Linked DNA regions of Notamacropus eugenii. The protein of the gene in region 2 purifies or fractionates together with the protein of the main gene of each other region. This does not show direct contact. Links are inferred from orthologs where the notes say so. Each region holds a gene or a part of one and is shown on either strand. Other genes may lie near its edges. The genes, in order: ubiquitin-conjugating enzyme E2 E1, OTUB1, FOXM1 and UBE2E3.

Region 1 (7,315 bases), on a different chromosome or scaffold from region 2:
GACTAAAGGTTACATACTTCACTTTCTCTTTCTAGGAAAGACTTTTGGACCTGTCCCATCCTGACTCTCCCACCACCATACCATTACCACCCTGGGGTTATTTATGAAGAAATAAAGTGAAAACTTGAGGACAGAATTTGGAAATTATTTGAACCCCCAATTTCAATTGCCTGAGGTCACTTCCACCATCCTCAAAAAATGTAATGATCTTTAAACATATCTTCTCAATTTCTGACATCTGTTTTTTCTCAAAATTCCTGCCACCATCAGCTGTGTTATATCTCTGGCCGTAATACTGGACTGAAAAGCTCTGAATGTACTGAGCAAGTAAGCAAGGAACCAAGATTTTTGGATTCCCCTCTATTTACACTCAATGTAATATTTTCTGTCTATATACAGAAATGCCTTTCTCTCTAGTTCAACACACTTGGAAATCCTTATTAGCTTTTCCCCTGCCAGCCCAATTTTAGCTAACATCACAGACTAGACAGTTGTTGCTTTTAAGAATAAAAAGCAGTCAACTGTTTATCCTCTGCATCTCTGAGACATACATTCACATCACCCACCTCCTACTCGGCAAAGTGTTTGCCAAAGCTGCTTTCACACACATCTATTTGGGCATCAAACTCTTATCTACGACCACTTGCGATCTGGGCTTTCAGGAAAAAACCACTGTCCAACAACATGTGGTTATCAGTCTTTGCTCTGCTCACCAAGGCTCTCTCTCTCTCCCATCCCTAAGGAGAAAACTCCACCTTTCTGAAATGTCTCTGAAATGCTTCCTGAGTTAGGAAAACACGGGTTCCTGTCCAGTTTCTGATACATCCTGGCTATGTGAGTATGGGTGAGCCATTTGAACCCCCCAACATCCTGGAGCAACCCTCTTACACTTTAGACTGCCAAAGAGTTACCATTTCTCTGAATGCCCTTGGCAGGAACTCCACGGACCAAAGAAATCACAAATCCAGGACTCCCCCCTCCAAAAAATGCCAGACACGTTGCTGGACCACTTCCTTTCCCCCTTCTCAAGTCACCTCATTTTCCTATCATTCCCAAGTAAAGGAGCTTGCTCAACTTTCTTCCCTCAAAGGAACCAATTCTGTCTCCTAAGAAAACAACCACAGCCTATCTGCTCTGAAATTCACTGACCCTAAATGCAGCCCTGCCAGCATCTGTCACACTTGCCTCAGCCCACTATTTATCCTTGTATAGTAGGGATGCTTACCCAAGTACAAAATGAGGAAGCAAATATGCAGAGACACAGCCCTCCCCATTCCTGAAGGTCCACTTCTGCCTTAGTCAAAAAAAATGCAAGTGACCCCATGGCATCCCTTGAAAATCCATCTCACAGGTTCAGGGCAATCAATCCTATGTGCTCCCCACATCCCACTCCACCTTGGGCCCTGCTCCTAACCAGACCAGACCAAAAGGAGAGCCCTGGGGATTAGGATTCAGAAGCACCTGGCAAAAGGCAAACTTGCTCAGGTGTACATGGCCACCACCAAGTGCTCATACTGCCTATATTTTCACATGTACTAACTCTCTGGATCCTCACAATCACCCCTTGTGGGAAAAAGGGCAGATATTATCCCCATTTTAGTGCCCAGGAAACAGGCTCAGAGAAGTTTTGTCACTGCCCAAAGGATCAAGCCAGCTGAGGACTGCTGGCCTTCTTTTTATCTGTCTCCACCACCTACTGTTGGGGTGACCATAGCTTCCTAGATCCCAATTATCCCAGATTCCAGCCAGTGAAGAACACCACAATAATGAATTCTCAAACAAATCACCTCTTTCCTAGAGAAATCAAAGATCAAACAGCCCATCTTATATTTAATTTTCTCTAAAGGACTCACCCTAGTCCAACCAGGACACATCTCCCTCCTGTCCTCCCTGTGGTCAGTTCAATGTCTAATAACTGCCTACATCAGAGTCCACCCCTTTACAACTGACTTGGATTAGAAATATTTCCCAGAGTGTTCTCTGAGGGCTCCCGCTGATCGGAAAAGGAGAATTAAAAGATCCTATTAATGAACGATGGGAGACAGGGCCATGCTAAGAGGGGGACAATGTAAGAACTATATGGAGAGGAAGGGATTTTCACTCAAGGTAAACCACCGAAGGAAAGAAACTGTTTTAAGGCTTTGGAGCAGGAAGGACAGGATGGCCAAGGAAAAAGTTGAAAGGCTTTCCCCGAAAGGCAAAGAGCTGAGAGTTCTGCACAAAACAAAAGGGGGGGAAGGTTCTGGACAACGCGGCAAAGCCCCCTTTGGAATTCCAAGAGCGAGTACCTTCTCCCGTCCTTTCTCAAGTCTGTGCCCCTCTGGCTAGTGCCAGTGCCTCGTCACGCAGGATGTGGGCACCTACCCTGCCACGCAACAGGTGAGAAGGCAGGAAGCCCACGGCGCTGCGGGCGGCCACGAGGCTGGCCGGACGTCTGTCGGGGGGACGTCTGTCGGGGGGACGTCTGTCGGGGGGAGGTCTGTCCGGGGGACGTCTGTCCTGAGGACGTCTGTCCTGAGAACGTCTGTCGGGGGGACGTCTGTCCTGGGGACGTCTGTCCTGAGAACGTCTGTCGGGGGGACGTCTGTCCTGGGGACGTCTGTCCGGAGGCCCCGGCGGAGGGCGCTGGGGGGGGGCCGGGGCAGGTACCGGGGAGCCTGACGGCAGGCCAGCAGGCCGGCGGGGCGGGCGGGGGGCGGGGCGGGGGGCTGGCCGCGGCTGCGGGCCGGGGGGGGGGGGTGCGGGCGGGGGGCCGCGGGCAGGGGGGGCCGCGGGGGCACCCACCTCTTGGCGCTGGTGGAGAGGAGCTTGGAGTTCTTGCTCATGCTGACCTTGCTCTCCTTCTTCCTGGGGGCGGCCGCGCTCTCCTTCTCAGTCTGTTGGTTGGAAGATGAGGATGAGGAGGAACTGGTGCTGGCTCTCGAATCGTCATCCGACATAGCGAACCCCCCACCCCCACCCCCCACAATCCCTGCGGGAGACAGAAAACACAGACCATCCGGTGAGTAGCCGAGGGGCGCCCGGGGGGCGGGGAGGGGCTCAGCCGGCCCCCCCGGCTCGTTTGCCTGGGGGGGCCCGGGCCGCACGCCGCTCCCTCGCTAGGCCCGGGGAGAGGGGGCTTTAAAGGGCTGGCCCGGCAGGGGACGAGCAGGATGGAGGAGAAGGGGAGGGGGTCCCCGCTACGGAAACGGCGCTCATGGGGCCGGGGGGGGGGCGGCCGGAGCGCCCCGGGTGGGGGAGGGGGAAGGAGCAGCCGGGCCGGCTCGGGACCGGGCTCGAAACCCCCCGGTGGAACCCCGCAAACTGCGCCCCCGCCCCCGGGGCCACCCCGAGGCCGGGGGCCGGGCCGGGCCGCGGCGCGGGGAGGGGCTCCCGGGCCGGGCCGCGGGGGGCTCCCGGGCCGGGCCCGTACCTCGCTCGCTCCCCGGCTCGCTCGCTCGCTCTTTGTGTCGGCCGCCGCTCCTCCTCCGCCCGCCGCCGCCGCTCCGCCCGCCGCTCCGCCCGCTGCTCCCGCCGCTGCTGCCGCTGCTCGGGCCGCCGGGGCTGCGGCGGCGGCGGCTGGGCCTGGCCACTCGTGTCTCTCGCTCGCTCGCTGGCACCGAAGCGGAAGTGCTGCAACAGCAACTATTAAACAGGCAATGGCTTCCCTCGGCCACACTCGCGCACACTCACACTCACGCGCGCGCGGCCCCGCACGGCCCTCCTCCGGGCGAGCCCCCCCGCCCGACGGGGGCGGCCGCGGCGCACGTGGGAGCGCCTCCCCGACGGGGGCCCCGCGGCCGGGAGCAGCAGCGCCGGGCGCTCCGGGGGGACAGGGGGCCGCAGCGCCTGGGGGGTGGGGGCGGAGGGGGGCCGCAGCTTCGGGGGGGCAGAGGGGGGCCGCAGCGCCTGGGGGGGCGGGGGCGGGGGCGGGTGGGGGCCGCCGCGCCGGGGGGTGGGGGCGGAGGGGGGCCGCAGCGTCTGGGGGGGCGGGGGCGGGTGGGGGCCGCAGCGCCTGGGGGGGCGGGGGGGCCCGTAGCGCTGGGGGGGCGGGGGGCAGAGGGGGCCGCAGCGCCCGGGGGGGCGGGGGGCAGAGGGGGCCGCAGCTTCGAGGGGCCTCAGCGCTGGAGGGGCCGGGGGCAGAGGGGGCCGCAGCGCCCGGGGGGGCTGGGGGCGGGAGGGGGGCCGCAGCGCCCGGGGGGGCCGGGGGCGGGAGGGGGGCCGCAGCGCCCGGGGGGGCGGGGGGCAGAGGGGGGCCGCAGCTTCGGGGGGGCAGAGGGGGCCGCAGCGCTGGAGGGGCCGGGGGCAGAGGGGGCCGCAGCGCCCGGGGGGGGCGGGGGGCAGAGGGGGCCGCAGCGCCCGGCGCTCCGGGGTCACAGCGGGCCGGGGGGCCGGTACGAGGGGGCGCCCGAAAGGCCGGGGGAGCGAGCCCCGCGCCGGGCACGGCCCAGCCCCGAGGGCCGTTTACCCAAACAGCGGCCCCGACCCTCCCTCTGGTCCGGTCCGCTCCGGGGCCCCTTGGGTGCTTCCACAAACGGCAGTTAAGCCATCCCGGGGCATCTCTGAACACCAGCCATCTGTGGGGGTCCCTCCCGAAGGCGCCAGCCCCAGTCCAGTGGGGTGACCAGCCCCCCACCCTGCCCCCCCCTTTCCAAACAACCCCAGCCTTGCTCAGCCCTCACCAGGAAACTCGCCCGAGATCCCCTCCGGCTGACTTGGACCTCGGGGAGGTCAGTCCAGTTCAGTCTCCCACCTCCAGGCGCTGCCTAACCCAGGACAGGGATGTAAGCCAGTGCATCCTGACAGTCCCTGATGATGCAGCTTCGGGGAAGTTCTCTGAAACAGCCCTTGGAGAGCCTGAAGAAAATAACATTCCCTGGAAGAAGAAAAATAAAGACTTGAACGTGACAAAATAAAGTGCTTTGTTGTTTAAAAAAAGAAGAAAAACGACAAAACCCACTTTAGGAACAGTGAGTAGAGACCAGGCCCGGTGGACCTGCGTTCAAATGCTGCCTCTCACAGGCAGAGGCCAAGGCGCTTGACCTCAAAGTGTGCTAGGCCAGAGGCCCACGTTTCTCTCTGTTGCCAAACCAGATTCAAACATAATTGGAAAATATTTGACGAAATACAAATACAGTAAAACAGATAATATTAACATGTGGTTTTCTAAGTCCCTCTGAGAAGCACAGGGATTCTTAGGTGTGCTTTAGGGGCCCCCTGTTTCTATGTGAGTTGGATACCACTATTCCTGGCAGCTCTCTAAGACTATTAAGTTTCAGAGAAGATGCTGGCCTGCTTTGGTGGAGAGACTTTCTCATGCAGGAATCCCTCTGTCAAGGAAAGTACTGATCCCTCTGTGTGGGTGTGCTTGCCATGACAATAAAGCATGTTCCACTGTTGGTTTCTGAGTTACCCTGACCTACAGAGCAAAGAGACAGTGCCTAAGGTCTCTCTACAGTTTGAAGTCTCCTCCTCCTCTGGGGTCCAGAGGCTCCCTCTGACAAGGCCCTCCGTGCCTTTTGCTTCCTCTTTCTCACCTATGATTCACTTCAGCTCCTGGTGGTCTGAGCCATTGGATTGCAATGGCCTTTGCAAGGTCATCCATGAGCTACTGCTAAACTCAGTGAATGATCTTTCTTCATCCTTACCATTTTTGACTTCTCAGAAAGGATTTGTCAAGGGTTGATGTCTCCCTCCTTCAGAAAACGCTTTCTTCCCTGGGTTTTGTGGTTTTCTTCCTACCTTTTTGGTCATCCTACTCAGGTCTCCTCTGCAGCATCATCTATGCTTCCCCAGCATCCACCCATGCCTAAATGTACCCCCAGGGCTGTGCCCTGTGTCCTCTCCTCTTTCCTCTACACTCCCATCCCATCCAGATGAATCTCATATATACATATCCTGCGGTCATTCCTCTCCTGAGTTCCAATCCAGCATCTCCAACTGTTTGCTGGATATCTTCATCTGGTTGTGCCATAGGCATATTTCATAATCAACAGATTCAAAACAAAACTCGTCTTTCCCCCCAGTCCCTTCCCTTCTCTTATATTCCCTGTGTGCTATTGAATGTACAACCCTTTATCTCTTCATCCAGGTTCTCTTCCAATCCCCATCTCCTCAGTTGTACTGCCAGTTGTCCAGGGCCATCCGTCCCTTTCCTTCTATTCCCATCACAGCCCCCGGCTCCTAGATAACCTCCAGGGTCTCTTAATTAGTCTCCCTGAACCCATCCTTCCCTCTCTAATCCTTCCCACAGCTGTGGAACTGATAATCCTAAAACACAGATCTAACCTATTCGTTCCATTACAGGGCTTCAAAGGCTTCCTATTGCCCCTGGGATAAAATGCAGACCCCTCTATTTGGCCTTGAAAACCCCTCCCTTTCTGAATCCAGCGATCTCTGTGGGCTCATTATCTGATGTGTTCTAGGTAAACTGGCCTGCTTAGTTAGCCGTTGCATTGGATCTAGTCCTAAGCCTTACCCTGGCTTCCCACACCTCTATCCTCCATCCCTGAAAAGCTCTCTCTCCTCACTTCTGCCTCTCTGATTCCCTAGCTGCCCTCAAGGCTCATATCCAGTGCTGCCATATCTAGATAGGAGAGGCCTATCATGATTTTACAATTCTTAAAAAACCTCCCCAAACTATTTTGTATGTATCTATGTAGTTATTTATGTAGTATGGATGTCACATTTTTAATTTATCTGTGTACATATAACATCTCAGTAGAATGTAAACTCCTTGAGGATGGAGCCATCTCATGTTTGTCTTTGTATCTCTAGCACCTGGCACGCAGTTGGTGATTAATAAATGCTTGCTGAATTCTCTATTCCCCACATTTCAAAGATTTCTGCCTTTTCTCTATGTATTCCTTCTCATAAAACTAACCTTGGTTGATTATTGTGGTTTCAGGATGGCATATTGAATTCAATAAAGATGAAATTATTGAGGAAACCCAAAATTCAAGAGATCTGGCAAAAGAATCTTCTCAAATTACAATTCATTTGTAAGGTGTATTATTTGAAGTAAGCTATTATCTCAGGTAGAAAGAATAAAAGACATACTTTATAACTACCCCTTCCCCTTCCAGCACTATAGAGACCCCCATCCCTGCCTAGCTAGCCTTCATCCAGAGCTGACCCTAGGATGAGGGACAGGAACTTGTCCCAAGGCCTTGAAATTTACAGGACAATGATAGTGCTTGTAGCACTTTAGCAAAGTGCCCCCCCCCACTCCCCAATTTAGCACCTATTGACCAAGAACTATTCTCATTGAAATAGGAAGCCACTTCCTTCCCACCTACCTGTCCTCCAAAGGATCTTTTCCCACCTTTCTTCCTCC
Region 2 (7,282 bases):
GGAAGCCAGCAGTTCAGCCACAGAGGTCTGCTTCTCCACTTGCTCTATCAGGTCCATGAACTGTCCAGAGGGAGGGAGAGGGCAGCTGTCAGTTACCCCGCCTGGCCCCGAGGCCTCCCCATCTGAGTTCACCAGTGTGAGGGTCCAGCTCACCGTGTTGTGGAAATCCTCAATTGTGAACTCGGTGAAGCCCTGAGACACCAGGTCCTCTTTGCTCTTGGCAGAGATGGCTTTGAACCTGCCGGAAAGAAGGCAAAGCCACTGAAAGGAGGAAGGGGAAAGAGGCGGCCAATGGGAGCCACCAATGAGACAGAGATGGCACGGGCTGCCCAGAAGGGTTGGGGGCTCCTCAAAGGGCAGATGGAAAGACGACTAGGATCTGAGGTGAAGACACCCCAGCTGGGACCCCTAAGTTTGACATCTCTGACTATGGCGCCCCAGACTAGTTGTAATTGAAGCCTGTTTCTTTAACTGCAAAGTGAGGAGGCTGTTTGTACTGCCTACTTGCCAGTGCTGTTGTCAAGGAAGTGCTCTGTAAGACTAAGACAGGACAGGATGGGACAGCCATGCTCACTGCGGAGGGCTCGGCCTGCAACGGGCTTCAGGAAAGGGGACCCTGCAGATGCCCTGGGGCATACCTCTGCAGTTCCTTGCTGTCTTCCAGAAGGGCCTCCAGGTGGGAGAACCCGAAGGCTCGGTAGAAGCAGTTGCCATCCGGCCTGGTCTTTCGGATGTAGGAGTATTTTTTGTGTAGGTCCTGTGGAGATAATGGAGAAGGCACTGAAGGCCAAGGTGAAGATGGGCAGCTTTCCCTTCTGTACACTGGCATGGCCTGCGGAGAACTTCGAGATGGGCGGGACAGAGAAGGATCAGTGGAGAAACGGGATGTTCTTTTAGCAAGGAATGGTGTTGGAGAAATGGAGGCAGAAACTGTTCTCACTAACAGCACTTGAATGTGGGGCTCCCTAACCACTCTGGCCTCGTGAGAAGAAAGGCCATGGCTACCCCCAATGATGTACCTGGGACAAGGTGGGCCAAGTCCCCAGAGGGCTGGGCTGAAAGGAGACTTCTGCACACACCAGGTGATAGCAGAAGTCAATTCCTGGCCTATAAAGTGATTCAATAACCAATTCTTCTCTAATTCCTACTAAGTACCTGTAGAACCCAACACTAAATACTACAAAGGGCCTTTCCCCGTCCACTTTCAGAAGCCCCGGCTCTCAGGTGGAATCAGAAGGTTCCCTCATCCCCCTACTGCGGGGAGGGGGGTCTAGGAGCCCCGACCTTGATCTTCTGTTGATAGATATTGTCATCTTCCGCATACTCCTTGTAAAGCACAGAGAGCTCCAGGCGCTCGGAGACCAGTGGATTCTGAACAGCAATCTGCAAGGAGGAGGGAAGGAAGGGACAGGAGCAGCAACTTGACAGGTCCAGGAAAATATCTGCGTCCACCCCAATCCCCAACTAGGAGCACAGGAGCCTGTGGACGCCTGGCAGGACCTTGGTCTGCTTTCAGAAAAGCCCTGGTTCTCCTGTATCCCTCGGCCAGTCTCAGAAGGCAGGGCCAGAGGAGCTGCTCCCCAAACCAAAGGCTGGACAAGTGATCCGGGGACCAAGGAGCCAAGCCCCAAAGAACAACAAGGGGGGCCTCGGGTTCAGAAATGCTTCCTTGTCATCCTCCAAGCCTGGGATTCTCCTGGAAAGATCAGTCCCTAGGCCCGCGCAGATCAGCAGCTGGCCAGCTCTCAAAGACGTGCTGGGGGGATCGCCCACACAACTCCAGACCCCCCAACTCCCAGGACAACGACCGGGGCAAGCGGCCGCCTCGCTAAGGCCCCGTCCTTCCCCGGGGGAGACCAGGCCAAGCCGGCCCTCGGGGCTCCCCGGGCCCCTCCTCCCCTCACCTCTTGCTGAATTCGGTCCTGCTGGGCCATGATGGCTTCATCGTAGGCCAAACAGTTAACTCCTGGGGGAAGGAAAGAGCAGATGGGAGGCCCGCCGGCCGCTGCTCTGCGCAGGCACCTGGGTCAGGCCCAGAAGCGGGTCTGGGCCCATCCCGGGCTCGAGGCCCAGCCCCGCCGCTGACTCGTCATCTCCGCCCCTCCGGGGGCAAGGGCCGCTCCAGGTGACGGCGGGGCTGGGCCTCAGGGAGCGCCCCCCACACAGGCCGGGGGAGGCGGTGCCCCAGAGCCCGAGCCGGCCGGACCCACCCAGAGGGATGGAGGGTGCGGGGGGCCGCGGGCGGCACCCCTGCGGAGAAGGGGAGCCGTGAGGTCATGGGATGGGGGAGGGGCCGGATGAAAGCGAGGGGTCGGGGAGATGAGGCGCGGGGGGAGGAAATCCAAGATTCTCTGAGCGTCCGCCTTGGGGGTGTGAGGGGGAGGGCCCAGGGGGCGGGGCGTGGAGAAGGAGGCCCCGCCCCCTGGCCCAGCGTCCCCGCCCTACGGGAGCCGGAGGGAGGCGCGCGCGGGCGTGGGCGCAGGTGCGCGCGAGGGGCGGTCGCGAGGCCGCGGCAGCCTCGGTCTGGCACTGGGCGCGCCCCCCTCCCCCTCGGCCGCGCCGTGCGCAGGCGCGCTCGCCCCTCAGGCGCGCTCACGTGCCTGCGCCCCGCTGCCGCCCCTCCCCCTCCGCCCCCGCCCGCGAGGCCGGGGGTGGGGGTGGGGGGGGTCTCAGGCGGCGGCTGCTTCCCCTGTACGTGGGGGGGAAGCGATGGAGCCCGCGCGCCTCGGCTCCGCTCTAGGGCCCCCGGCCGCAGCCCCCTCCGTAATGGCCGGGCCGCGCATCGCCCGCCCTCCCCGGGGGCTCCCGGCCCCCACCTCCGCCCCCGCGGCCGCTACCTTCCGAGTCGCTTCCCAGCGGCTCCGGCTTCTGCTGCTGAGGTTCCTCCGCCGCCATCTTTAAACAGCGCCGCACCCACGACCACTTCCGGGTTATTAGCGCCTCTCCTCCCGGAAGTGAACGTCCGCCCGCCTGCCCCGGACTCCGAGCTCCATAGCAACGCCCATAGCAACCAGAAGCCCCGCCCCACCCCGCCCTCCCTTGTGGGCCGCCCAGTCAGCGGGAAGCTAGGGATGAGGCGTCGGGAGATGGAGCCCAGAAGCTGCAGCGGGAAGGGACCCTGGACGTCCTCCAGCCCAGCACCGTGGGCTTGCGGATGAGGGAACTGAGGTCCGGAGGCCCGCCATTGTGGAGATGGGAGCACCGAGGCAGAGGGACGCCTGCAGCTCACCCAGGCCCTCCCCCTCGGACCCCTTGGTGCCTGCGGGAAGGAACCCTGCGGCCCAGGAGTCGCCAGCTAGCCCAGCTGCCGCAGAGAGTGCCCAGGGCCAGGGGCCAGAAGGGTCCGAGGCGCATGCACCCAGCACAAGAGGCGCCACGCAGAGTAGGCGCTTAAGTCTCAGGGCAGTGGAACTTGGTAAAAAGATGCCCAGCAGGCCTCCCCGGCTGCCCATTTTCACCCCAGGGCCACCTTGATGCCACCTTCTTATCCTAGGACCAAAGCCGGAGGCCTGGGAGAGGCCTCGGAGCTTGTCTCCTTGTTTTACAGATGAGCAAAATGAGATATTGGATGGGTAAGTGATTTGCCCAAGGAGACAAACTGGAAGCTCTGAATTCCACTCTTTTTCCTGTAAAGACTCCAAGGGAGGATGTCAGCATGCTACTTTAACAAAATGTAGAGCTGAAGGGACATCCGGCTTATAACTGAAGGGTGTCCCCATTATAACCTAGCCTCTGATGAGTCCTCCAGATTTCCAGTGAGGGGGAACTCCCTCCCTCCTGTACCCCACTGCAGTCTACCTCCAAGGCAGCCTGTGACACTCTGAACAGCTCTCATGATTAGGAAGCTTTTTTCCTAATATCAAGTCTAACCTGACCTCTTGGCAACATGCCCCAGATTCTGCCCTCTGGGTCCAACCCTGTTCCACCTGATAATTCTTCAAATACTTGAACAGAGGCACCATATTACCTAAGTCTTCTCTCCAGGCTCCAAATCTCCAGTTCCTTCCATTTATGCTCATGGGACACCATCCTTGCTACCCCTTTCCCTAGCTCATCTATCACCTTCTTAAGTTGTGGCTCCCAGGACTGAGCATCTTCCTCCTCCTGATGTTGTCTGGTCAGAGCTGGGCATGCAGTGACTTATGGCCTTCTCCCTGGAAACTGGAGCCTTTGACATGGCCACAAGGCTTTGGCTGCCATTTCCCACTGCTCACTTGTATTGACCTTTCACAACAAGTTTCTAGACCTTCAGACTGGTGGCGGTCTCACTGGGCGATGCTTTCATCACCTCAGACTCAGGCTGTTGGTTGTTGGACCTCAAGGGTAAGGCTTGACATTTATTCATCCTCCGTTTAAAATTATCCTGTTTCCAGTGCTCTGCCCCGTTAGGATCCAGAGTGTTAGGTGTCCCATCCATGTGTAGATGGTGCGCCATCTACACATCTCATAAACATTCCACCTATGCTTTCATCCAGGTCATTGCCCAGAATGTTTAGCAGCACAGGGCTAAGCCTAGAACTCTGAGGGTCCCCTGGAGGCCTTTTGCCATGTTCACCTTGTACCATGTTCAGACATGAGACAGTGGACCATAAAATCGAAGTGAAGAATTCAGGAGCCTAGAGGCTACGTCCATCACAGCTCCAGGCCCCAGGGCCAGAGACAAACCCATCCCACTAGTCGAGTCTATGGTTATTACTTCAGACCTCTCGATTCCTTTCCCCACTCCTACCACCTAAAACGTTTCTCCCATATTCCATAGCTGAAAGGGACTTTAGCCATAATCTACCTTACACTCCCATTTTACAAATGGGAAACTGAGCTCCTGGGAACCTCTCAAACATAGAATGTTGGAGCTGGGACTGATACCAGAAGCCTCCCTTCCCCCAGCCTGGTTAGAGGTTAAAGGGAATCTCCTCTTCTCCTTTAGCATCTCAGACAGTGCTGGTGGCATGTCTGGGAATCAAAGCCTAATGACTACTTCAGTTAGGAAACTTTAACGCTTCAGGAATTCTCACTGGCTGAAAAGTAACCCCCCATGTTGGTGAAACCCCAAGTCCAGGTGAAGATCCCTGCTTTGGCCTGGCTGTGGCTCAGGGCAGACAGATGTCTGGGTCACCTGAAAGGCTCGTAGAATGTAATCTGGTGAGGTGGTGACCTGCATTGTAAATCCAGATGAGACCCTCCTTTGGAGTGAGCCAGGGGCCTGAGATACTGCTTCCCCCTGCCTCCAGCTAGGCACATGCACTGCTGCCCCCTCCTCCTCCTTCAGACATCCACTGAGCATCCCCAGGGCTGTGTCAGTGGGTGTGGTACCCAGGCAGAGCAGCAAGACTGTCTGGGCCTCACACACAGCCAGTTTCTCCTTTCTGTGGGTCCCACTGCCAGACTGTATTCTTACAGGGACCCCATGCTCTGCTTGGCCATTTTTAGTCTACATTTAATGGACAAACTCCAGGCCAGACCCCGGTTTGGCAGCAGTGCCAGGCCAGAAGCATGGGTAGCCCAGCTTGTGCTCAGGACAGCCAGGGCAGGCTCTGCCCTCACACAGGGTCCTTCTGGGCATCTCTGAGATCCTTTCAGCCCTGCTGCTGCAAGAGCTGGCTGGCAGGCAGAGCTTGAAGCAATGGCCCAAGATGGCCACAAAGGCAAAGGGGCTAGGGGAGGGCGTGATGGGGACATGCCTTGACTCTTCCCCAGGTCAGACATATAATGTGGGCCAGAGGAGGCAGCCAGTCCTCCTGGGAGGGGGACCACAGCTCTCCTACAAGGGAAGGGGCTGCTGGACAGGGTGATGGGGAGCCTCGATTGCCACCAGGCAGGCCCTGGAGTCTTACCAGTCAGGTGTTCCCAAACCTTTGGAAGTATTTCCGATTATCTACAGGCTCAGAGTCACGGACCAAGTGAACCAGGGCAGCTCTGATGTCAGAGGAGACTCAGCAGTGTCTCTACTTCAAGCCTTCTAGTTAAGTCAGAGTACTGGAGCACTCAGCAACCCATAAGGGGCAAAAATACCCCACTCCCAATTCAAAGAGCCACGTTCCAGGGGCAGCCTGCAAGTTTTGCCAGGACTCTCACAAGATCAAGGAGCAATAGGTCTTCATTTACTCCTGTGAGGAATTAGTGAGGAGCCTCTCATCCCTCAAGCTTGCCCTGGGAAAGCTGAGATGGGGGCGCAACCCTGTGATTTCAATCCAAGTCAGCTTCCCCTGGGATGAGGGGATACAAAGCCTGAAAATGCCAGGTCATGGCCCCCGATTCTCCCTTCTACCCCCACGCACACACCTGCTGCCACATGCACTGCCCACAGGACTGAGGAACCACCCCCCTCACTTCCAGTTGCCAGCTTCCATCCCCAACACAGTCTGAAGCAATTCTGAAGGCCGTGGCTGCTGCCCACCTCAAGCTCAATGCCAGATGCCCCAAGCAACACAATTTCCCCCTTACCACCCCATGCCAATGAGAAGCGACCTCCCCCTACCCCTAGCAGGCTATAGTGAGCAGCACGGAAGACCAGCCTTGGGAGGGTGGCAGTTACCAGGGAAACCCGCAAGGTCAGCCTCTGCTTGGCACATCCTTGCTCAGCATCAGGAGCATGGCTATGAGACCAACACCAGGGCTCAGATTCCCCCCTCCCCATATGATCTTCTGGGAAGACAGGTGAGAGCCAGTGCTCTGCAAGAGGAAGGTGGCACCATCCCAAAAGGATACCACCCATCCTCCCCCAGCTCTCGACTGAGAGCCCAGATCTGCAGGCTAGGCCCTGCTGTAGGGAAGGGAGGGCAAGTGCTTGCTCCTGATCTGCCCAGGAAGGGTGCCTGATAAAGCCCCAGGATGATTTCCCAGTGACTCTCAGACTCCTGTGCCCCAAAGCTCAGGGTGGAATGCCCCCCTCCTGCTCACAAAGGCAGCATCTGTGAAAAAGGAAAGCCAGTCATGGGTCAGAAGGAGAAGGCCCCGTCTTGGAGGAAGCCCAGGGAAATGGGGTGGAGCCACTGGGGTGATGGGGGAAAGCCCAGAAATAGTCAAACAAGGGGTTCAACCTTAGCTACCACCACCACTTCTAAAAAAAAGGATCCTCCTGAAGTGAGAGAAAGCAGTGAAATAAGGTTATTCCCTACTGGCCTCCATCTTTTTCTCCCTCTTTATATCCATTCCACCTGTCTGCTCTGCCCTGACCAAACCTCCCAGCCTGTAGTATGACAAGGTAGACAGCCCCCCAACATCCAAGCACCAGCTCAGTCCCTGGGAGAGGCCACAGGGCAGGAGCCCCCGGCCAACACAG
Region 3 (7,219 bases), on a different chromosome or scaffold from region 2:
CGTCTAGGATCTAGAAGCTCAGAGTTCAAACGTGCCTTCAGACGCTTGTGACAGCTCTGAGACCCTGGGCAAGTCACCTAACCTGTTCACCTCAGTGTCTCCAACTGTAACACAGGAATAATAGCACACTTACCTCCAAGAGTTGTTTTGAGGTTCAAATGAGAGAATGTTTGTAAATTAAACCCATATCCCCTGTCTTCTCCTCTTTCAAAATGAGAGTAGTTGTCTGACAAAGGATATTCCTTGTGCAAAGCTTTCTTTGCACAAGAAGAAATAACACTTTCTTGAAATCTCGCTACCCTGGAAAACTGGAACACGATTAAGTCCTACTGCTTAGCACTTGGCACATATATTAGGCATTTCATAAATGCTTATTCCCTTCCCTTCCATCCGCCCTAAACCTGCTCTTCCTCTGGTCATTTATAGAATTTTCTTTGCTCAGTCTTAGACCTGCCCTAGACTACCTTGAGCTCTTCAGTCTATCAGAAGAACCCCAAACTTGCCCTCTCCTGACCAGCTAGGGGCTTTCCTTTCTTCAGGCACTTATGCCACCTAATGAGTGGAGGCATTTGGTTAAGTATGAAATACTGGCCTACTACAAACAAAAGAGGCAGCATTCACTAACAGTTTTCTGCATTTATTTGTAAACATTTTTAATATTTTCTAAAAGTTATCTTCCCACCCTTAAGTGCATATTTACAATTTGTTAGAAATATTGTATAACCATTTCCCTTCTATCTGCTATGAATTACCTTTAAACTGGATAAATATCAGGAGGAAAAATATAAAAAGAATGGTCTGTGTATACTATGCCAGTAACTAGCAATACCAAAAAACAGATTATGGAACTTCAGCTTTAGTTCACATAATCATTCTGGTGCTTTTGGTTCCCTATTAAATCAACAGGAAGGACCACAAAGGTTCTAAATGACACTTGAGTCTATTGATTTAATCTCTTCAAGGGCCAGAAATTGGATTTAGCAGCACTATAAAAACCATCCATGGGGCAATGTAAATTTCTGCCCTTCTGGATCCAAGTTATTGGTAAAAAGGAATCAGTATTTCAAGGTTCCACTCATGTCTTCACAAGAAACTGGCTCATGCTCAATTTCCCCTTCTCCCTGAGGTAAGTAAGAAGTTGATACCGTCTTCTCCAAGTTACCTTCAGCCCATATTTCTCCTCTGGTGTGTCTGCAACCAGTACAGGGCCAGGGTCTGGGCTCTTGGGAGGATCCATTAGGAGAGGGCAGCTCTTTCTCATATGCTGCCTCTGGTCTGTGGGAATATGCCCACTGTCCTTCACAGGGGACTGTTCTGGGGTCTGGATATCAGGTGGGATAACCATGTAACCTGAATTTTGAAGGTCATGAGAGGACAATTCCGCACAGCTTTGAGGACTCAATAGAGGAACCAAGGACTTTCTGGCAGTGTCTTTTGGACACTGTATAGGGAAGTCCATAACTGAGAGATTGTCCAAAGCAGCTTCACTGGAAGAAGACACTGAACTCTCAAAGGACAGAGGTGGAAACCTCTTCTTGGTTGCTTTTCGAGAAACTTTTGCCAGGTTCTGAAGATTGTAAGGCACCTGATGTTGTTTTTGGTAGACTGGCAACCAGTCTCCTGTTTTCTCAAATTGAGGAGACACCTAAGAAACAAACAGAAGCTGTCAGCCCAGAACCACAAACATTGCTGGAAATTACTTCATCTCCATTCAAGAAGCCACAGATATAATGCTCAAGTTTTCTAAAATGAGAGCCTATCCACATTAAAATGAGCTCATTTTCTACAGGCATGAGCACCAGACTTGGAATCAGGAGCTTTGGGTTTGAAACCTGCTATGAAGTTATAGGATTTTTATGAGAAAAACACTATATAAAACTTTGTGAGTTATTTTTATTAGGTATCTACCCTATTCCTGGAGTATGGATTATTGCTTTTCCAACAACTTCTAACAAGTCATTTTTTAAAGCACTCTTTAAGCAGAAGCTGAAGTCCAAAATTGGCCCCTGCTCTTAACTTCTACTTCTTTCTCACAACATAATCCAAAACTCTTTCAGCTGGAGTCTTCAGAATGTTAAAACTTTCCAGTGTGTGGTGTTACTTTATAGCAGGCTATTAGATAGTAAACAATGTATCTAAAGAAGAACATACAGTATCTGGGACCAAAGAAAAATACATTTCTCTTCTCTATATCATGCCGCTACTTTTATCATCAGACCCTGCATTTTTAAGAATGCTCAGAATCTTGTTTCTGTCCTTGTCACTCTCCTACTCAGTAAACTCTATCTAGCAAGTCCCTATGGCCCCTAAGATAAAATATTAACTTTACCTTTTAAAGCCATTCACAACCTGAACCCAAACTATCTTTCCAGCCTCAGTGAACACTCCCCCTCCCACAGTCCAGTCAAAACTGACCTTTCCTCTGTTCCTCACACAAGACAATCTCCTATCTCTATGCTTTTCCATGGCTGCCCCCATGCCTTGAATGTAATTCCTCTTCATATCTGTTCTCTTAGAATCTCTCTTCTTTTAAGACACAGCCCAAGCACCACCTTGTACATGTACAAATCCCCCTACTAATGCTAATGCCCTCCCTACTAAACTACTAGTCTTTAACTACTTTGTATTCTACATATCCATACATGTGAATGCATATGTATGTTTAGAAAGATATGAACACATATATGTATGTACATATTGTCTTATCTTTTGGAATATAAACAACTTCTCAAATAGGAATTGTTCAATTAATTGTATTTGTATCCCCTGTGCCTGTCACTTAATAAAAGCTATTAACAAATGCCTGCTGATTGACTGAATCAGTGGTTGGGAGAGAGAAAAGGAAAAAGGTGGGTTCAAGTGTTCCTGAAGGTATTATTGGCTAATTGGTGTAGGTAAGGTCTTGATTTATCAGGCCAGCCACTAAAGGTCAACAGTAACAAGGGAACACCAAAGCAAAAGCACATTATTACTGAATCTTCAGACTACTCTTTAGTCTTTTGGGGGGGGGGGGAGGGGGATGAATGAACGGTAGGGAGGGAAGGATGAGACCTTCCAGCAAGAAAATGAACACAATGTCCCAAAATTCCCCACTGTAGTCACTGCTCTTTAAAAAGAATAGCAGGGCAAAGTAAAGCCAGTCTAAATGTCAACAATTCTCCCTCTGATTGGCTATTTCCTGATCAGCCCCCAGTTATCTAGCTCTTCTCTCAGCAACTGCCCATTTTTACAACTTAGGGGAAGAGCAGTTGGTTGAGGAGTTATGGTTTAGGAATTAGGGCCTCTTGCTCCTGTGTACCACTAAGTGGGTGAGTGACCTTCCTCCTGATGTGGGTCAAAGACAGTACCCACAATATGAGTCACCTCGTACCCAAAGCACCCAGTGTAAGAACTCGCTGGTCCTACCCAAGAGGTGATGGTCTGGTGATCTACTGGTTTGACCCGAGCATGCCTTGGGAGGGCTGCGGCTGGCTGTGGGGATCCATAGGGATGCATGGGACCCTCCAGAGGCCCCTCTCGGAATGCCAGTTGTGGTTTCCGGGACTGACTTTTGGGTTTCTTCCTGGGAGGCATCAACAGTCGAGGAGGGAAGGACCGTGAGTAGCCTCATGTTGCCTGGGGAAATACGTCGGGGAGATGAGCAAGGATCCTCACCCATGCCTAGAGATCAGACAACAAAACAAGCAGACAGAGAAAACCGATCACTGCCCGGGGCAGCAAAGCCCACCACGCTGGGCCAGACTAATCATCGCTCTCAGCGGGAAAGGGAGGCTGCTATTTACGTCCCAGAACCACCAACCTGAAAATGCAGGAGGGACTCAAGGCAACAGCATAGATTAGGCGCCTACTATGTACCAGGCTCAGCGCTGCAGGAAAAGGGAGGTGCTGCTCTGAGAAGGGGTGGGGGTGGGAGGCAGTGGGGTCACTTACACTGGGTGAGTGCAAGTCCTCCAAGGAAGAAAGCACCTGGAACAAAAGCTCGAGCATGAGAAAGGGGGTTCCGGGGGAGCGGACTCCTGGCGCCGCCTCCCCGCGTCCCTGCCCCCTCAGCCAGCCCCGGAAGTCCGCCCGACCCACTCTCAGCTGCCCGGCTCAGCTGTATCCGGCCCCTTCCCTCGTCCTCCCCCTCCCTCACTCGGGAGGCTCCGGCCCCTCTGCCCCCAGGCCCCGGCCCCTTGACAGGCCGGGCAGAGTTCCGGCCCCGAATGCTTAAACGACGCTCGGTCCCGATTGGCGGCGCCCGCGTCACGTGACCGGCAACGCTCCGCCGGCGCCAATTTCAAACCGCGGAACAAACTGAAAGCCCCTTATCCCCCTCCTCCCCCTCCCCCCCTCCCGGCGACCCCACCCCTCCCCCCCGCGGCCGGGGACCTGGCCGACCCGGCCCCTAGCGGCCCTGGGCCTGCTCCTGGACCCTGGCTCAGCCCCGGCGGGCTGAGGCTGAAGGGAAACCCGACCCCTGCAGGCCTACCTTGGGGCGGTGGTGGAGACAGCGGCCGCAGTGCTGAGGTGAGAGTCTCGGGTGGCGGGGGTCCCCAGCCTGCCTCCCTCCCCGGGAGGGCCCTAGAGAGCCCGGGCGGGGTGGGAGCCCCGGACCGGGAAAGGAGCAGGTCTCCGCAGCCGTCCTCCTTAAAATGGGCCCCCTCCAATGCCCAGCTCCTGGGCCGACGCGGGGAGCCCCGGAGAGAGGGTCGCGGGCCGGAGCTTGGATCCCAGCTCCGCAGCGACCGCCGGGCCCCGACCTCGGAGTCTTGATCAGGGAGTGAGTGACCCGCAGGAGGGAGTCCTCGAGGTGCCGCGGCTGCAGACGGTGCGGCCGGACCTGACAGCACCTCGGGACGGGCCACCGGGGCCCCCTCCACTGCGGGCCGGATCACGGCCCGGCCGCATAATGCCGGTGCAGCCCCAGCCTCCTGCGGAATTCAGCAGCAGGTTGGGCCCAGGGACCCAATCTGTAACCCCAGGAATCTCTCGACCCCCCTTGCTGGCGGTGTCGTGCCCTCCTCTGTTCAGTGTGGGGTAGTGAAAGGCTTTTTGCAAAGGACCTTGGATGGTGAAACCACTCAGCGTTTTGTTTAATGTTTATTATGCACCTTAGACCCTGTATTATCATTACTGGTAAATGTGCATTATTAAATTTGACATTCCTTGAAGGTGAGAGCTAAATTGTGTTTCCTCTGTTATGTATCCCCTTTAATGTTTTAACCCTGGGCCGTGTAGGTGCAGTCAAATACATAACTGAGCTAGTGTTAGGAGTGGGAGAGAGCAGGAAGACTTGCTTTTGGGAAAGGATATACTGAAAAAAAGGAAGCAGGATTTGAAGGTTTTGGGGGGAGGGGATGGCAGTAAAGGGTCAAACTTAAGAGAGATGGAGACAAGATAAAATTGCAGGAACTTAAAGAGGTGAGAACTTAGACCCAAGAATTAAGAGGTAGGAAGAGCTCAAGGGAGGCCCAGGTCATCTTACCAAATACCTATGACATGGTTAGGAATTGTGATTCCCCAAATTGTATAGCAGGGACCTAGGAAAAAGAATTCCTCTGATTCCCAGGATGACACTTTCTAACAGAATGATGTACATTTGAGGGATGTCTTCTCAAATAAGTATTTGAAGGTCCCAAGCCAAAGATTTGTTTCCTTCCTCCAGCTTTACACAGCTACCATAGCATCAGAAACCTGAATTCTAGTCCTGACTGCCATTAACTTGTAGAAATTGGACAAGTCATTTCTCTATACTTAATTTTCCTCATTTAAAATGCAGCTAATAGGTACCCTGCAGAGATGTTCTACAAATTAAATGAAGTAGTTGGTATCAGATACTTTAAAAAATGAAAGCATACAACTCTGTAATACTAGCGTTGCTATGGGTTCATAGATTGAGAGCTGAAAGGAACCTTAGAGATTAGCTTTATCATTTTACAGATGAATATAGCCTGAGGCTCAGAGGTTCTGATCAGAAAACATCATGGTTAGTTCTAGGAGCTATATTTAGTATCCACCCCAATGAGGTGGAACTATGAGCCAGAATGGTGAAGAGAATCGAAATGTTGAAGCGATGCGACATAAGGACAAGTGAAGAACTGGATATATTTAGTTGAGAGAAGAGAAAACTTAGGGGCACATGATAGTGAAGAGGTTTGAGGTGCTGCTACCCTGAGAATGCCAAGTCAGAGTTGCCTGCAATGAATTCACACTCAAGTTTTCTATTAGTCAAGAGGCAAAAGTTTTATTGTAACTCCAATAGTAGCAGGTGAAGTTCCTTTGGGGAACTTGCAACTTAATGGGGTTGAATCTAAAGCTTATATAGAAAAGGGGCAGGTAAAGGAATGTTAAGAATGCTTATTTATTAAGTAATTCAAGGAGTCCAGGTGTCTGGGAGCAGCCGTCAATGATTTATGAATGGGAAAAGTCAAGGAGTCAGCAGAGACAACTTTGCTGATATCAGACATTGAGGAAGAAAGATAGTTTAGCTGCCAGAGACTTGGACCTTGGCAATCTGGTTTGAGGGAGAGTCCTTGGGCCAGCAAGGCACAAAAATCCTTGGGGCAGGCACCCCTGTGTTTGTCCTTTATCTAAGGACATGTGTTCTGTAACAAGGGGAGAATTTTCTTATGGGGGTGAGGGTCTGGGATTCAGAGTTGCTTAGGCGTGATGTCTTAGGGCTTTTGGGGGTCCAGGTCCCACCACCCCATCAATAGTACTTGAAGGTCTGTCAGGTAGAAGAGAAATTAGACTTCAGAGTTTGCTTCTGAACACAGAACTAATAATAATTAATTGACAGAAATTTCAAGGAGGCAATTTTAGACTATAAAAGTAAACACTTCCTGACAAGCCTTACAAGGTAGTGGTTCTTCCTCAGTGGAAATCTACAAGTAAAGGTTGGATGACCTCTTGTCCAATATGTTATTGGATGAGGTATGGGTTGGATTAGATGGCCTCTGGGGTGCCTTTCAACTGTCTGAGATTCTCTGAGGTTATGATTTTCCTAAGGTCATATAATTAAAGAATAGCAGAAACAGAATTCAAATCCAAGCTGTCTTGACTTCAAATCCATCATTTTCCCACAGTGCCAGGCTACAATAAATAAAAATCTACATTTTTTCCTTTCTTTAATACTCTCTTGAGACTGAAAGCTTATTGTAACAACTTTCATTTGAATTTTCTATTCCCTGGGATTATTATATCAAGAAAATGCCCACCAGAAGCAGCAAGGCATAGT
Region 4 (7,432 bases), on a different chromosome or scaffold from region 2:
CACCTCTCATAGGTATTACCTTTTAGCACTAGTAGATAACTTAGCAGTGGTTTTGCTAGAGAGTTTGGTGTTCTTTTTCTGCTGGGTGGCAGATGGTTTTCTTTCTTCTTGTTCCTCAGGTTCTGGTGCTGCTGGGTCCCTCTGATCTGCATCTGAACTGCCACTGCTGGTACTTGGACTTTCATCATCTGACCTTTGCCTATCACTGGACATCTTGGTCAAGTTATTTCTCTGAAAACTTTTAAAAAAAAGAAAAGAAAAAAGGGCGTTAAACCTGAAGAACAAATTCCACATCATTCCTTTCTGCAAAATATTTCCTAAAATCTGTCTTTTAAATGATAAGCCTTTTAAAGTGTCTATACACTTATCTCATTGTTACTGCAAGGTTACAGAGGGAGGTGATGTATGTACCAGAATGCCAATATTTAAAGATTTACAGAACTCAACTTGGAAAACCCACTCAGAATTTTTTTCGTCCCTTGGACAATCTATCAATTGTCTACTTTCTCAGAAGGCACGAAACAGATCTGCCAGGGAACTTAAGCAATGAACATTAATAACATCTGACACATTGTAAATAACAGACCTCGCTGAAAAATGTTACAAAGTTACTAATAACGTCTAAATATTTACACATTTACGTGGGTCAGAGCTACCAAATTCCCTCTCTGAAGGAAAAACACGTCCTGCTAATCACCCCTATGCTTCCTAAACGTGGCAACAACCCCTTTCTCTTGGCACTTAAGCCTTTAAGCGCTGTACCTCCCCCCCTTCCCCAAGGAAAAAAGGGGGGGAGGCTAAAAAGCAGCCTCCTTGGTTGGCACGGCCAGCAGCAAAGATTCATTTGGCCACCACAGGGCTGCTCCACAGCGAAAAGCAAAATTCAAACTGCACCTTCTGCAAAGCTCCCAACGCCACCGTTCCTGGCTCGGTTTTGATATTACAGACCGACATTTTGGCCAAAAAAAAAAAAAGCCCCCCCGCCCCCAAAAGAACTCCGAACAGAATTTGCAAAAGAGAGAAAAAGAAAAGCTTTCGATAGGAAATTGCAGCGGCGGCGGCGGCGGCAATGCAGCTTTGCAGCCCCCTTTGTGGGGAGGGACGGGGAGAGGGTTTGTTATGGTAGGAGGCAGCGCTCCAATATCAGCGTGGTGTGTGCACCAAGTGATGCGTGAAGTCAGTCCTGGCTCCTCGGGCTCCCGGAGACCGGCAGGGCGAGCGCCGAAAACAAGAACAAAGCTCCCTCGGCCCCCCTCCCCCTCCCCCCCCACCAACCAACCCCAGCTCGCCCCGGCGGCGGCGGCGGCTCCTGCTGCTGCTGCTGCTGCGGCTGCCGCGGCTGCTGCTGCTGCTCCTGCCGCCGCCGCCGCCGCCGCTGCAAGCCGCCCCCCCCACCCCTCACCGCCCCCCCCAAAAAAACCCTTCCAGCTTTACCTTCACCGCCGTTCTGCCCCGCTTACACGCAGCTGAGATGTGGGGGAGGGAGAGAAAAAAAACCCTTCCTTAAGGAAATGGAAGCAGCCGGGAGGGGGGAAGGGGGGGGGAGGAAAAAAAAGAAGCAGAGGAGGCTCTGGCCGGGGAGTGTGGAACATTGAAAGTCGTAGGGGGTTGTGTAGTGCGGCGCTCTGGCCGGAGGGTGGCGCCGCCCAGCGCCTTTGCAAAAAAAAAAAAAAAAAAAAAGAGGGAGAGAAAAGAAAACGGGGGTGGGGTGGGGGTGGGGTGGGGGACGGAACGGGGAAGAGGAGGAGGAGGAGGAGGAGGAGGAGGAGGAGGCGCCGCTGCTGTGTGAGGGCGCGAGCTCCCCGGGAGCCCAGATGGAACGGGGGAGATCCGAGAGTTCTACGGCCTCCCCTGTCCCCGCTCGCCTCCCGATCGGTGCAGTCAGCAAGTTCCCTGCGAGCTGGGAGGGAAGGGGAGGGGGAGGGGAGGGGGGAGGAGGAGGCGGCGCGCGTGCTCGCTTGCCTGGCTGTGGGGCGCGCGCCGGCAGCCCGGGCTGGCTCCCTCCCGTCGTTCGCTCGCTCGCTCTCTCTCTCTCCCTCTCTCGCTTTCTCGCTCGCTCGCTCTCCCGCCCCCCCCGCGCTTCCCTTCACCCGGGGGGCGCACGCGTCTGCCCGCCTGGGCCGGCCAAGGACAAAGAGTGCGCCGCCCGCCGGGGACAGGGGCGGACTGGCCCGGAGGAATGCGCCGGGCCGGCCAGCCAGCCAGCCCCGGGGAGGGCGGGGGCACCCGCCCGAGGGGCCAGAGGGCCGATTTTGCAGCAGGGTGGTTTCCGGCCTGCACCGCTCCACTCTCCCTGCCCCACCGCCCTTCCCTGAGCTACCCACTGGGCTACCCACCCGTCGGTTCTGCACGGGGGAGGAGGAGGAGGGAGCTCGCCGTCTGGTGCACCTCGGCAGCGCCAGCAGGGAGGGTCACCCCCAAAGGCTCTCCTCCCCCGCCTGGCACCCTTCCCCCAGTGCGGGAGGAGGCGGCGGTGGCTCTGGATACTAAAGGGTTGGGTGTGGGGGGAGGGTGGATCCTCAGGGCCCAGGATCTCGGCCCTGCCACCCCAGACCTGTAGTTGCTGTCGAAGGCCACCTCGCCGCCTCCCTCCTGCCCGGGAAGATGGATTGATATTTACCGAGGAGTCCAGGGACCGGGGAAGAGCCATCTTCCCTTCCCTGCAGTCCGAGTGGGCAGGGACGGAGGGGACTGGGGGCTTGGGAAGGACGGTCCTGGGCACCGGGGGCAGGGAAGGATCTCAGGGGGCTTGGTGACCCCGGCGCCTTCTCCGCCCTTGCCCTTAACAGCGCTCCCCCACGGGATGGGGTTCCGGAGGCCCTGGAAACTTAAAAGGGGGAATAACAAATTTTAAATGTCCCGCTCGCGCTGGAAAGGGGCGCGACCGCAGCACTTTGTGCAGCGCGAGGCTGGCATGCAGGCAGGACCCCGGCCCTGGACACATGCACCTCGCTGGCAGCGCGAGTCAGGCTGAGCCCCAAACTCAAGATTCCTTCTCTCTCCCCCACCCTCCCAGTACTTCGGATTAACCGTTCCTTTTTGGTCTCCTGGCAGGCGGCCCCAGGCCCAATCACAAGGTGGCCAGAAATACAAAAACTTCCTGTTTACAGCCCAGACCTGCCCCTGCTACTGAGCAGCCCTGGTTCTAGGGATGGAGCCCGAGAGGGATTTGTGGATTCCACTTACACAGATGTTGGCAAAAGAGAAAAAGAGATCCGAGTCCTGACAGTGTGGGAAGTTCAACGGAAAGTACATCAAAAAGGGAAATGTGCCCCCATACTGGGCTGATTTTTTTCTCCCCAAATAGAAAGGTTTTTGTGAGAGGTTTCCCCAAGTAGATCTGATCAGTAAATAACATTCGTGTATTTACTGAAGGACGCAAGTTGGAGAAAAAAGGTATTTCTGGGAAAATGGACTTTGACCCTTGCTAGGAGTTTGGACTTTGTTCTGGCAGCAGTGGGGAGCCATGGAAGGTTTTTGTGCAGGGGAGTGGGTTGATAAAGTGCGCTTTATTTAAGCAAGATGAACGGGAGAGAGAAAGGCAGAAACACCACTAGCAAGGAGACCACTTGGGGGTTGTCTGGCTGTGAATTGTTAAAGCCCTGGAGTTAGATGGTAATAGTCAATGGAAAGATGTAGAAAGTTGTGAAGAAAGACTCAGGAGGATTTGGTGACTGGTTATAGAGGAGGATAAGGGAAAGAGAAGAATGTAAGATGATTCAGGTTTTGTACCTGGGAGATAGAAATAGAGCAGGCAAGTAAAGAACTTGGTTTTGAGGAGAAAAGATAAATTCATAGCGACAAAATTTTATAGCACAAAGAGGCTTAGAGGTCTGGAAAGGACATCATTTGGAGCCATTAAGACTTGGACTCAATTTTGCCATTTACTATACTAGCTCTGTGACCTTAGGCAAGTCACTAAACTTGTGAGTCTTAGTTTTCTGCCTCCATCTGTGAATTTATTTAAATATATATGGGTTTTAAATCAGTAATTCCTATTCTGTTTACCTTAATTAAATTAGTTTACCAATGTGAAAATATGAAAACACTTTATACATTTTAAAGGGATATACAATTCACTATAAGGTGGTACTGTGATTATCACCTCCCTCATTTTACAGATTTGGACCCAAAGTTCTAGCTAATGATTAAGTGAAAAGAACAGTAAACCATTAAGTTAGGTGACCCAAATTCTAGTCTTTGCTTCATCTGACACTAACTAAAGGTAAATGACAAGTAAATCATCTTTTTCAGTCTCAGCTTCTTGGTCTGTAAAATCGACTGGCATCTAAAGTCACTTCCAGCTCTTGTCTGTGTTATGTACGCAAAATAAGTTGTCTTGAACTTTCTCCTCTTTTGTTAAAATGTAAGCTCCTTGAGGGTAGGGACTTTAATTTTTTTTTGTAGTTCCCTTTATAAATGAATTCACATATCCAGTCCCTATCCCTAACCTAAAGAGGGCTTCCCATGTAATCAGCACTTGATAAGTGAATATCTGTTGATTTACTTTTTGTTTCTCCTATCATTCCTCCAGCCTGAAATGTGAACACTTTTTCAGATTTCACTTATTCTTCAAGATCCAGTCAAAATCACATCTTTTTTAAAAACTTAGATCCATGATGTCCTCTTCTGAACTCCTAGCGCACTTAATCCTTATCCTATTCATCCAGAAATTAGTCATGTAGTTCCTTTTGATGATTTTAAAAATATTTTTCTTACTTTCTTTTCATTTCCCCCCTCTGTTTAAACATTTCAAATATCTCTACCTTATATCTCCAACCAGCCTGTTAACTCCTGGAAAACAAGGACCTCAGACTTGATATCCCAAAAAAGGATTAGGATAGTGCTCAATAAATGTTTGTTGATTGATTCCTTTTGTTGATTTCAGCTGTTTTCTTTCTTTTCAAGTGCCCCCCAAGCTCTCTCAGTATTCCTTTAACTCCCTGCTTGCTCTTTATTTTTCTTCTTTCTTTCTCTTTTCCCTTTCTTTCCATCCTCCCTCCCTTCTTTCTTACTTCTTCCCTTCCTTTCCTTCCTTCTTTCCTCCCTTCTTATTTCCTTCTTTCCTTCCTTCCTTCCTTCTTTCCTTCCTTCCTTCTTTCCTTCCTTCCTGTTTAGTTTTTGGGAGCAACATGATGCTTTGCAGATAGTACTAGACTAGAAATTAAGTTACCTGAATTCTAGTTAGTAGCAGAGTTAGAACTGTGTGACGTTGGACAAGGCCCTTCATTTCTCTGGGCCTCTATTTTCTTGTTTGCACAATAAGAACATTGGACTTATTAATTAAAATCCTGGCCAGCTCCGAAATATTGTGATATAGGTATCCATTTACCTATACCCATACTTCTCTATGCTATCAAGGCTTTACCAATAAAATGGGAAAAGAGAAATTTTATCCATCAATAGAACTGAACTGGTTCACTAGGAAGACATATTTTTTTTTTTTTTGCAGGGGGTAAGAAGGGGGTTGCTTCAGGGTTTTTTTAAAATCATTTTCGCTCATTTTTATCTGAAGTGGTGAGCAGCTCATTTCAGTTTTCCCCCACAATAGGGAACTTAAGGATATTTTCTGGAAGAACAACACCTCTCCTTTTTCAGACAGTTTTGAAAAAGAGTGGATGAAGTGGATACTGTCTCTAGTTCCCTCCTGGTCCTGGGATGACTTCCGTCTTGGAGGATTTTGATACAAAATTAAAAAGTCTCTTTTTTTTTTAACATCAGTGATGCTACTAAACAGTGTTATTGAAGTTGTTGGAGGTATTGTTCCACATTAAACATTCTATTACACAGTTCTGATCATGGCACTGCCAACTGAATACAGTCTATTCTTGGCATTTAAAGTCTTCCACAATCTGACTCTAACCTACCCCTCCAAGTTTGTCTCACATTAGTGCTTCACATATTTCCCCTCCAGATTATTCAACATTTCCTAAAATCATACCCTGCTCTCCTCATCTGTGCTATTGTTTATGGGTTTTCCTGATATAAATCAGAATGGTTAAAGAACCTAAAATTAATGCCGTATGAAGAACAGTTGAAGGAACTGGGGATGTTCAGCCTGGAAAAGAGAATATTTGGACTTGAAGTGGGATTGGTGAAGAAACATGACTGCTGGCTTCAAGTGTTTGAAGAGATGTCATATAGAAAGGGGACTAGACTTCTCTTTAGCTCCAGAGAGAGAATCTAGAACAATAGTTGGAAATTGCAAGGAGGTCAATTTAATCTTGATGGAAGGGGAAAAAAATCAATCAGAGCTATACAAAAGTGGAATGGGCTGCTTTGGATTATCAGGTGTATTATAGTGAGGATCTTTTTTTCAGGTATAGGTTGAATTAGTCCTTTCCAATTCTGAAACTAATTCTCTAAACTGGCTTTCAATGAAGGGAGAGATAATATAAAACAAGTTGAAAGTACTAACTGTTCCCAGATAAAGATACCAACCCCAGTACACATAAGATTTGTCTTTTTCCACTTGAAAATGGACAATGTGGCTTGAGCCACATTGTTTTGGATCTCTCTCTCTGTCTCATCCACCCTCCCTCCATTCCCTACCCTCCTCTAACTTAATTGAGTACTGGTAGATTCAAATGTGTAGCCTAGATACATTTGTTTGAATAGTAAAGATCTGCATTTCCAGATCAAAAAGGCAAACATTAGTGGCATTCTTATTCAGTTTCTCGCCCTCCCAAGTAGTCCTCTGTTTGAGGCTCAGAAAAAAATGGATAACAAAAAGACATTTTCCAGAGGATGGCTCCTACAGCTTTTCAAGAGGACACAGGAAAAGTGAGATTTTTACCAACCAAATAGTCTTTGCGCATATACGTTTTGGACATTAACTTTTTCTTCTGTATTCCTTCACGTTTGTCTAAATTAAGGTTACCCAATAAGAAATAATACATGTGCATCCAGAGTTTTGAATTAATTTGATTGGTATTCAGTCTTGTGGAAAAGATTGCAGACCCGAAGCCATTAAAGAAAAAGAAAGAAACTGAATTACCACAAGATGGATTGGAGAATTTTATTATGGCTGAAAAACTAGCTGATTGAAAGCAAAGGTTAAAAATAAATAGGTCTTTCTTGGACAGACAAGTGTTAAAAATGGGTACTTCAGGGATCTCCACGAGGAAGAGTCTTTTTTAACCTTTTTGAAAGTATTCTAGAAGAGGGCATATACAGTAAAATTTCAAAGTACAAATTATATTAGCCCTTCTAGGTAGTAAAATCCCTGGTGAACTAGGATAAAGTAAAGAGGTCATCAGCCTATGCAAGCTAGTGAAAAATGGCAAATGAGCTTCATTGTGGGTAAATGTATACAGAAAAATAAATCTAACCTGCATTTAAGTGATAGCCCTGGGCCTGCAAGGTATAACCTTAAATTCAGAAGAACTGAGTTCAACTTTTGGTTCTGCCAGTAACTGTAACTGTATAACTT

What was found.
Region 1: the proteins of OTUB1 (region 2) and ubiquitin-conjugating enzyme E2 E1 purify together in Homo sapiens (affinity purification with mass spectrometry; 4 studies listed by BioGRID and IntAct, with this or other methods). This does not show direct contact. The link is inferred for Notamacropus eugenii from reciprocal best matches to the Homo sapiens genes OTUB1 and UBE2E1.
Region 3: the proteins of OTUB1 (region 2) and FOXM1 purify together in Homo sapiens (affinity purification with western blotting; 4 studies listed by BioGRID, with this or other methods). This does not show direct contact. The link is inferred for Notamacropus eugenii from reciprocal best matches to the Homo sapiens genes OTUB1 and FOXM1.
Region 4: the proteins of OTUB1 (region 2) and UBE2E3 purify together in Homo sapiens (affinity purification with mass spectrometry; 3 studies listed by BioGRID and IntAct, counting the BioPlex papers as one, with this or other methods). This does not show direct contact. The link is inferred for Notamacropus eugenii from reciprocal best matches to the Homo sapiens genes OTUB1 and UBE2E3.

What each region holds. Positions count from the first base shown.
Region 1 is NC_092874.1:30,659,745-30,667,059, forward strand, and holds the start of ubiquitin-conjugating enzyme E2 E1, read right to left. Parts: upstream 3,002-7,315; 5' UTR 2,940-3,001; coding exon 2,785-2,939; intron 1-2,784. UniProt on the Homo sapiens protein: Accepts ubiquitin from the E1 complex and catalyzes its covalent attachment to other proteins. Catalyzes the covalent attachment of ISG15 to other proteins. Mediates the selective degradation of short-lived and abnormal proteins.
Region 2 is NC_092873.1:16,814,525-16,821,806, reverse strand, and holds the start of OTUB1 (ubiquitin thioesterase OTUB1), read right to left. Parts: upstream 3,016-7,282; 5' UTR 2,896-3,015; coding exon 2,838-2,895; intron 1,967-2,837; coding exon 1,905-1,966; intron 1,384-1,904; coding exon 1,285-1,383; intron 758-1,284; coding exon 639-757; intron 239-638; coding exon 154-238; intron 61-153; coding exon 1-60. UniProt on the Homo sapiens protein: Hydrolase that can specifically remove 'Lys-48'-linked conjugated ubiquitin from proteins and plays an important regulatory role at the level of protein turnover by preventing degradation.
Region 3 is NC_092874.1:202,997,872-203,005,090, forward strand, and holds the start of FOXM1 (forkhead box protein M1), read left to right. Parts: upstream 1-4,212; 5' UTR 4,213-4,509; intron 4,510-7,219. Other genes in the region: RHNO1 (RAD9, HUS1, RAD1-interacting nuclear orphan protein 1), read right to left, coding at 1,076-1,645, 3,406-3,573. UniProt on the Homo sapiens protein: Transcription factor regulating the expression of cell cycle genes essential for DNA replication and mitosis. Plays a role in the control of cell proliferation. Also plays a role in DNA break repair, participating in the DNA damage checkpoint response.
Region 4 is NC_092876.1:244,823,810-244,831,241, reverse strand, and holds the start of UBE2E3 (ubiquitin-conjugating enzyme E2 E3), read right to left. Parts: upstream 3,015-7,432; 5' UTR 2,621-3,014; intron 2,524-2,620; exon of another isoform or gene 2,337-2,523; intron 2,330-2,336; exon of another isoform or gene 1,963-2,329; intron 1,927-1,962; exon of another isoform or gene 1,435-1,926; intron 1,393-1,434; exon of another isoform or gene 1,280-1,392; intron 1,261-1,279; exon of another isoform or gene 895-1,260; intron 872-894; exon of another isoform or gene 634-871; intron 239-633; 5' UTR 214-238; coding exon 20-213; intron 1-19. UniProt on the Homo sapiens protein: Accepts ubiquitin from the E1 complex and catalyzes its covalent attachment to other proteins. In vitro catalyzes 'Lys-11'- and 'Lys-48'-, as well as 'Lys-63'-linked polyubiquitination.